Mus musculus: one gene and its partner. The protein of the gene in region 1 interacts with the protein of each later gene in a biochemical or structural test. Links are inferred from orthologs where the notes say so. Each region holds a gene or a part of one and is shown in the gene's direction. Other genes may lie near its edges.

What was found.
Region 2: the proteins of Tnni1 (region 1) and Tnnc1 are reported together in a solved structure, tested with the Homo sapiens proteins (2 studies listed by BioGRID, with this or other methods). The link is inferred for Mus musculus from reciprocal best matches to the Homo sapiens genes TNNI1 and TNNC1.

What each region holds. Positions count from the first base shown.
Region 1 is NC_000067.6:135,805,916-135,809,484, forward strand, and holds part of Tnni1 (troponin I, slow skeletal muscle), read left to right. Parts: intron 1-1,605; coding exon 1,606-1,695; intron 1,696-2,717; coding exon 2,718-2,894; intron 2,895-3,569. UniProt on the Homo sapiens protein: Troponin I is the inhibitory subunit of troponin, the thin filament regulatory complex which confers calcium-sensitivity to striated muscle actomyosin ATPase activity.
Region 2 is NC_000080.6:31,206,888-31,211,177, forward strand, and holds the start of Tnnc1 (troponin C, slow skeletal and cardiac muscles), read left to right. Parts: upstream 1-1,424; 5' UTR 1,425-1,467; coding exon 1,468-1,491; intron 1,492-2,915; coding exon 2,916-2,946; intron 2,947-3,172; coding exon 3,173-3,319; intron 3,320-3,676; coding exon 3,677-3,791; intron 3,792-4,290. UniProt on the Homo sapiens protein: Troponin is the central regulatory protein of striated muscle contraction. Tn consists of three components: Tn-I which is the inhibitor of actomyosin ATPase, Tn-T which contains the binding site for tropomyosin and Tn-C.

The sequences.
Region 1 (3,569 bases):
TGTCCTTTTTTTCAGGATGAATTTTTTTTGGAATTTAAAAAAAATGATTTATTTATTTATTGTGCATTGGTGTTTTGCCTGCATGTGTTTCTGTGTGAAGATGTCAGATCTTGGAGTTACAGATAGTTGTGAGCTGCCATGTGGGTACTGGGATTTGAACCCTGGTCCTCTGGAAGAGCTACCAGTACCCTCAACCGCTGAGCCATCTCTCCAGTCCCAAGTCTTTGCTTTTTTTGAACTGTTAGTAATTGCTTTAACGCCAGTGGCTGCAGAGAAAAGACCAGATGAAAATATGTCCATGTGTCTCCCACAGCAGTGGCTATTTTAATTTTACTATTTTTGGTTAATATTGAGTTTTCAAAATTTCCACTATTAACTTATATCACTTTTATACCACAAAACTATCTATCTATCTATCTATCTATCTATCTATCTATCTATCTATCTATCTATCTATCTATAGACAATAACTATGAGCTTGCTGCTGAGGCATGAGCCTGCAATCCCAATACTCAGGGGACAGAGGTTGGAGGGCTGTGAATTAAAAGCACTTATTAATTAAAACAGTTTCATACAATATACTTTGATCATATTTTTCCTCTTCCAACTCTTCTCAGATTCTTCTCAACTCCCTCCCCACCTAACTTTGTGTTCTTTCTCTCTTAAAAAAGAAACAAACAAACAAACAAAAACACCAAAAGCCCAAAACCAAAACCAACCAGTCAAACAAGAAAAACAACAAAAAACAAAAAACCGTGAAAATTAAAACAGTAGCAAGCAAGTCAGAAAATCAGGTTGGGTGTGGTAGTGCTCACCATTAATCCCAGTATCCTGGAAGCAGAAGTGGGTGGAACTCTGTGAGTTTGACACCAGCCTGGTCTACAGAGTGAGCCAGGACAGTACTACATAGTGAGACCCTGGAGAGATCAAGGCACGTGGGGTGGGGGAGAACAATAATACAAAAAAACAAAAAACAAAAAAAACCAAAAACCAAAAAACAAAAAAACAAAAAAAAAGTCAAACAAAACAGAGGAAACATGGAGACATGGAGTTTATTTTTTGTTGGCTGTCTGCTTGTGGGCATGGAACTCAATAAACATAGCGACACCATTGGAGAAAGCTGTTTGCCCCTTTCCCAGCGAATATCAGTTGTAAATAACTGTTTGGTTAGGGGTGGGGCTTTGTGTCCACTTCCCTTCTCTGTGCTGGGATTTTGCCTGGTTTGAATCAGTGTGGGTCTTGTATGTCCTATGTCTATGAATTCATATATGTAAAGATTATGACACACTCAATGGCAAGGCTTTCAGGCCAGCCTGGGCTACATAGTGATACTACCTTAAAAAAAAAAAGTTAGCATTTACAAAAAGCTAGAAAAAGAAACCAAGCATAGACCAGAAAGGCGAGCAAAGGCTTATGCTTTGAGTTGTTCCCTTGATGGTGACAGCTTTGAGCCCCATGCAGAGGCCGCTCCTGTTGGGATTACAGTGCAGGCAAAGCGAAGGACCATAGGGCTAAGCGTGCTCAGTGTGCACACAGGAAAAGGAGGCTGGCCCCGGTGGCCCTTCCCCCTCTTCTCCGCTCTCATGCTGTGGATCTACTCCTCAGGACTTGTGCCGAGAGCTCCATGCCAAGGTAGAGGTGGTGGATGAGGAGCGCTATGATATTGAAGCCAAATGCCTCCACAACACCAGAGAGGTAGGCCCTGGAGGTGGGGGATGGGACCGCCTGGGCGGGCACTTGTGAGGCTCTCCTGGGTCTACGGAGCCTGGGAGGCAGGCTCTCAGCATCCACCCCAACACCACAGGTCTGGAGATGGGCAGGAAGGATAGCCACACATGAAAAGAACAAACTTCCTCCCCACCTGCCACGTGAGCTCTTCAGAAGCTGCCGGCTTCCCTCACCCACACAAGCAATCAGATGTCTGTTAATGACATCTTACGTTTGTGAAGGGCTTTCAAGTGCAGTTGAATCCTTTGATCCTCCCTACACGCCTGCGGGTGACACGGGGGCTATTACCTGACCCTGACAAATGAGGACATGCAGACTCACAAAGGCTAAGCACTTGCTTGGGCTTGGGTCACAAAATGGGGGTCCCAGTATGCACACTGTGCTCTGTGCTCCAGTTCCCACTCCACGGGACTCAGCCCTTCATTGTGGAGTGTGTGGGCATTAGGACCAACCATGGGCTGCTTCTGAGCATTGGCCCAAGGTGAGCAGGCACTTCCGTACCCTACCCTGCTTTCGAGGGTGCTGTGTGATGCCATTAAGCTCCAGAGAACTCCCTTGCAGACCACACCCTGGGATTATCAGGGTGTAGGATTTAGGGCTCCTCTACCTGCTGTGTCAGTCAAGGCTCAGCTGCTGTGCAGGCCCTGGGCAGGGTTGAGTACTAAGAGCAAAGATGGAGGGAAGGAGAAAGCAGTTTACACCCCACACAAGGCTTCCAAATGGGAGTAAAGGTTTATTGGCTTATCATTTATTTGTGACTTGGTTATGGGGAAGAGGCAAGGTTAACTAGTGGGCGTAATCTGTAAAAGTTCATTTAGAACATTTAGCGTGTGTAGTGATTGCTTGGAAAAGGGTAGGAGATTCTGAGCACCCCAGATGGTCTAGCCTGGAGCCCGGAGGACTTGTAGGATGGTTCTAGCTGGAAGCCCAGTGGTTGGATCCTCAGGGTGAGAACTCTAGGTCAGAGCCTGGCTCCTTTGCTCCCCCAGATCAAGGACCTGAAGCTGAAGGTGCTGGACCTCCGTGGGAAGTTCAAGCGTCCTCCCCTGCGCCGGGTCCGTGTCTCAGCCGATGCCATGCTCCGAGCCCTACTGGGCTCTAAGCACAAGGTGTCCATGGATCTGCGGGCCAACCTCAAGTCTGTGAAGAAAGAAGACACAGAAAAGGTGAGGGCCCCTCTCCTCAGACCCGCCTACTGGCCTCTATCTGCCACTTCTTACATTGCCTGAGGCGCTCTAGTCAGTGTGTGAATCAGGATATTCTAGGATCCCCTAGGAGGCCAGTGTCAGAAGAGAGACTACTGGCTGCTTCCAGTCTGAGGGGACAATGGGATGAGAGAAAGGCTGACTGGGAAATTAAAACTTGCTTCCCATATCAGTTAAGGGGTAACCATTACCCCTGTCACTTCAGCTTCTCGTTGTGGCTATAGGAACATGAGTGCATAGAAATTGGAGAACCGAGTTCAATTAACTTGCCTAGCAAACAACTACTTCAAATTTGTTGGTCTCACAGAACATGTTTAGAGCTGACAGGCTGTGAGGAGCATGGTGAGAGAGCAATTTATCTGGCCCAGAGAGCTTAATAAAGACAAACAGGCCAAGCCAGTATGCTGACAAAATTGAAAACAAGTTAAATGAATCAGGAGAGGCTTCTTGGAGGAGGTGACCTTGAACCAACTGCAGGGTGTCCCACAGGAGGGTGTTGTGGATCCTGGAGGAGAGGTTGGCCTGTCATATACTGGGAACCAGTTTTGTGACCCTGTGACAGTTACCTAGACCCTCCCATCCACACAGCCTCATTCTGTGCTCCTGTCTGGCCTATTCATCTTGTATCATGTGCTG
Region 2 (4,290 bases), on another chromosome or scaffold:
TATACCTGTGCGGCGTTCTGTCCCCTCGGGCAGTTGTGGTCATTGTCCGCTGGGCTCACAGCAGGGAAGGGCAGAGGCCATGGGCCTTCGGAACTCTCCGAAGTCACTCTGCTTCGCTTGGCCTCAGTTTCCAGAGGGGACATTAATAGGGTCTCGCCTGGCTGTTGGGTTCATTCCCTGTGTAGCAAGAGCAAAATGAATAAGACTAGACTTAGAGATGGAACAAGGACCAGAGGGACTCTCCGACACTTGGGGGGTTTGTTGTTAAAAGTACTGGTGGAGAATTGATTGTGGTGATTCTGCAGTGCTCAGTACCCCACGGGCTTTCCCCTGGCAGTGTGCTAGGCGGCACACTGGTGTGTTCAGGGAGAGCTTATATGCAGCAGACGTGCAGGTGGATGGAAGAGATATGCGCTGTCCATCTGGTTTCCCAGATGACATCCTGCAAGAGCTCAAGGTGAGGAGGAGACAGACTAGGCCTTGGACACAAGAGCGTGGCTGAAGAAACATCCATAGGGAACAACCATAGGGAAGACTTAGCTGGAGAAGAGATGACCCAACCGGAGGAGGAAAAGAGAGAATCCTGATAGACATAGGGTTCTTTAGGGACACTTGTTGACTCACAGAATGCAGCTGACTCAAACCCGAAGTGAACACTGATTGTTGTCCTTGAAAGATGGAAGGTTGCGGCGTGGTAGATCCCGCTGAAGGGCTTCAGGCCAGCCTATTCTTTGTGGGCCAGTGACTTCTTCCATTACCAGTGTCATATTATACTCTGAACCTTGCATAGGAAGTGTTTCTTGGCAGGACTTACACTGCCAGCCTCTGTTGGCATGCTACCATCTCTCAGGGGGTGTAATATAAGGTAGGGATTCTCCGGTCAGCTTGACCTCAGGCAAGTCACTGTGATTCCATAGAAGACCGAACTGTTTACTTCACATTTCCTGTGTGCTCATATTTTCATTCATTCAGGAAACTTTTTCCTGAGGTTGTTGAGGATGTGTGTGTGTGTGTGTGTGTGTGTGTGTGTGTGTATTGCATTTAGGTGCTTGCTCCCAAACCTGAAAACTTGAGTTCAGTCCTGGGTTCCTGGGAACCTAGGTAGCAGAGAGAGATAGATGACTCCTGCAAGTTGTCCTTTGACTTCCACATGCACTCATAAATAAAAGCAATACATTCTTTTTTTTTTCTTGAGACTTCCCTGGGGGTGGGGTGGGGTCTGGGGAACAGATGGCAAGAGACCTGGTCCTTGCAGTCCTTCATAGCTCCTGGCCCTAGGCAGATGATACAGGGACTTTGGCCAGCCTGAGATTACAGGGACCAGGGAGGGGGTGGAGGATATTCCAGGCAGTGGTGGGCTGGGCTGGGAATGTAGCAGGAGGTGGAGGGAGGCAGGGCTATATAAGCCCAAGCAGAGGGCTGGCTGGCTGGCAACCCCAGTAGCCTGTCCTGTGAGCTGTCGCCAGAATGGATGACATCTACAAAGCTGCGGTGAGAGATGAATCTTTAAGGGGTTAGGGTGGGTAGGTCCATTGGGGTTCCCTTAGCTAAGGATGGAGGACAGGGGTACACTAGGGAAGTGATGGGGGACTCAAAAGGGTCCCCACACACCTGTAACCCAGCCCCTTGAGCTGACATTTGGGGGATGCAGAAAGGGTAGCAATTCAGGGGTTTGTCAATGTGGCTAGGGGTATGGTCTCAGCTTTCAGCATCCTGTGTCTCCCTCTGTTTCTAACCTGTCACTGTCTTGAGTGTATTTGTGTTTTTATTCTTTAGACATCTGTTGGTCTTTCACAAGGTCTTTCCATCTCTGTTCCTTCCTCACGATGTCTCTGAGTCTTTGTCTCTCTGTGTGTCTCCAGGTCTGCGCCCCGCACCCCCTCCCAAGCTTCCATTTCTCACAATCTGCTTCTTACATACTCAGATCTGCCTCTCTCCTCTAGCCCCTGAGCTGGATGAGGAGGCTCTAGAAGGTGGGAGGGAATTGTGAGAGGGCTGGAGAACTTGAGTCCTGGGATGGGAAAGATGCTTTGAAGGTACAGGCCTGAGGAGAGGGAGGGAAGAAGGAATGGCTTGTTGGAACCTCAGTCCCTGGCAGGCTCAGGGGTTAGGTAGGAGTTGAGAGTGATAAGAGTCAGGGTTAGAGAACAGTGACCCTAAGACTGTTCGATTTCCTGGGGACGCTGAGGGACTTTTGATATACCTGCTTCAGAGACAAGAAAATCCTAGCAAACAGCTGTTCTCAGGAAATTCTCTCCCAACCCCCGGAATATGGCCCCACTTGTGAGCAGGGAAGGGCTGCAGCTGGTTCCTATGGTATCCTTGGCTATCTTGTAGGAGTCTGTGGAGCTGGAGTAGGGGGGTGGCCCTCCACCCAGTGCCCATACAAGGCCTGGCGGGGCTGGGGACTAATTTTGGCTCCTGAGGCAGCACCAGTAGGCCAGGGGGGCAGATAACACTACCCCACCCCCTGCATACCAAAGTCCCCAGAACAATCACCAGGTTTAACTTTGTCCCCCTTTAAAAATAGCTCAGTGGCCACCCTGGTCAGGTTACAGTGGGTGGCTTTGCTCGCCCCCACATTCGTTTTATTGTCTCAACCTGAGGGACAGCTGTCTCTCAGGCCATGCAGCTTAAGTTTCATTAGGATGACATAAAGGACATGCAATGGTCAATGACTATTGTCACTCAGGACACCTTGGTCCTGGGAGGGGTGCCTGCCTGTCACCTTGGCCCTAGCCCAGCCTCTGAGAAACCATCTGGGTCACCTTAGGGCAGGGAAGGAGGACTTTGTAACCTGGGAATATATTCTCCTTCTGTTATCATTCTTCCCACCTGTAGAATGGGGTCAGTCTCTAAGTCTGCTAAGGCCTGAGCTTGGGTCCTGAGGTCCTGAGTTCCCCTCTTCTCTCTAGGTAGAACAGTTGACAGAGGAGCAGAAGAATGGTAAGTGTCTCCCATTGAGGGGACAGCAGGGCTGGGGGGGCGTAGAGGGGGGACGCCTTTCCAGGAATGAACCCCAGATTAGAGGCTATAATCTGAGGGTTCTCCTTGCTGTGACCTCAAAGAACTCTCGAAGGGAGGTGGACAATTTCCTGGTGGCCCCAGGGACCTGGATTCCTAGTGTCCTCCTGGCTGCTGATCCAATCTTCTCACCCTCTGTTGGACCCAGAGTTCAAGGCTGCCTTTGATATCTTTGTCCTGGGCGCGGAGGATGGCTGCATCAGCACCAAGGAGCTGGGCAAGGTGATGAGGATGCTGGGCCAGAACCCCACACCTGAGGAGCTGCAGGAGATGATTGACGAAGTAGACGAGGATGGTGAGTCCCTTCACCCACTCCAGTCTCCACACGTGTATGTAGCACCCTGGGTTCACTGGCCCAGGAGCTACCTCCCCTCCATATCTTCACCATCTCATCCAGAAACTTGGCAAGTAGCTCATACTGTGATTCCAAGAAGGCTGAGGTAGTAGATCTGCTGTGAGTTTGAAGTCAGTCTGATTGGGTCACATAGCTCTCTATGGTCCAGTCCATCTTGGACTGCAGAGCAAGGTTCTATCTCAAACAAGAGGAGTGGGCAAAGGAACACACTAGCCCTATAGTGTGGGGAGGAGGGGGGGGGGCGTGGATTGCTGGAATGCTAACTGTTCTCTCTCCGGCCCTGCTGCCTACCCACAGGCAGTGGCACAGTGGACTTCGATGAGTTTCTTGTCATGATGGTTCGGTGCATGAAGGACGACAGCAAAGGGAAGTCTGAGGAGGAGCTGTCGGATCTCTTCCGCATGTTTGACAAGTGAGGACTTGCTTGGCTTCTGACCCTGGCCCAAGCAGAGAGGAGAAGGGGTGGTTTCAGCTGGGCAGTGGTGGCGCACACCTTTAATCCCAGCACTCGGGAGATAGAGGCAAGTGAATCTCTGAGTTTGAGGTCAACCTAGTCTACAGAGTGAGTTCCAGGACAGCTAGGGCTGCATAGAAAAACCCTGTCTTGAAAAGAACAAAAGCAAAAACAAACAAGAAAGATAGAAAGAAAGAAAGAGAGAGAGAGAGAGAGAGAGAGAGAGAGAGAGAAGGAAGGAAGGAAGAAAGAAAGAAAGAAAGAAAGAAAGAAAGAAAGAAAGAAAGAAAGGAAGGAAGGAAGAAAGAAAGAAAGAAAGAAAGAGTAGTTTCGGGTAGACACCCTGCAGTCTTTGCATCCAATGAGAGGTGAGACATAGAATGTGCATCTCCTAATGCCCCTGCCCTGCCTCCTGGGGTTGTATATGTGGGTTTGGCTCCTTCCCTCCTCCCCTTCC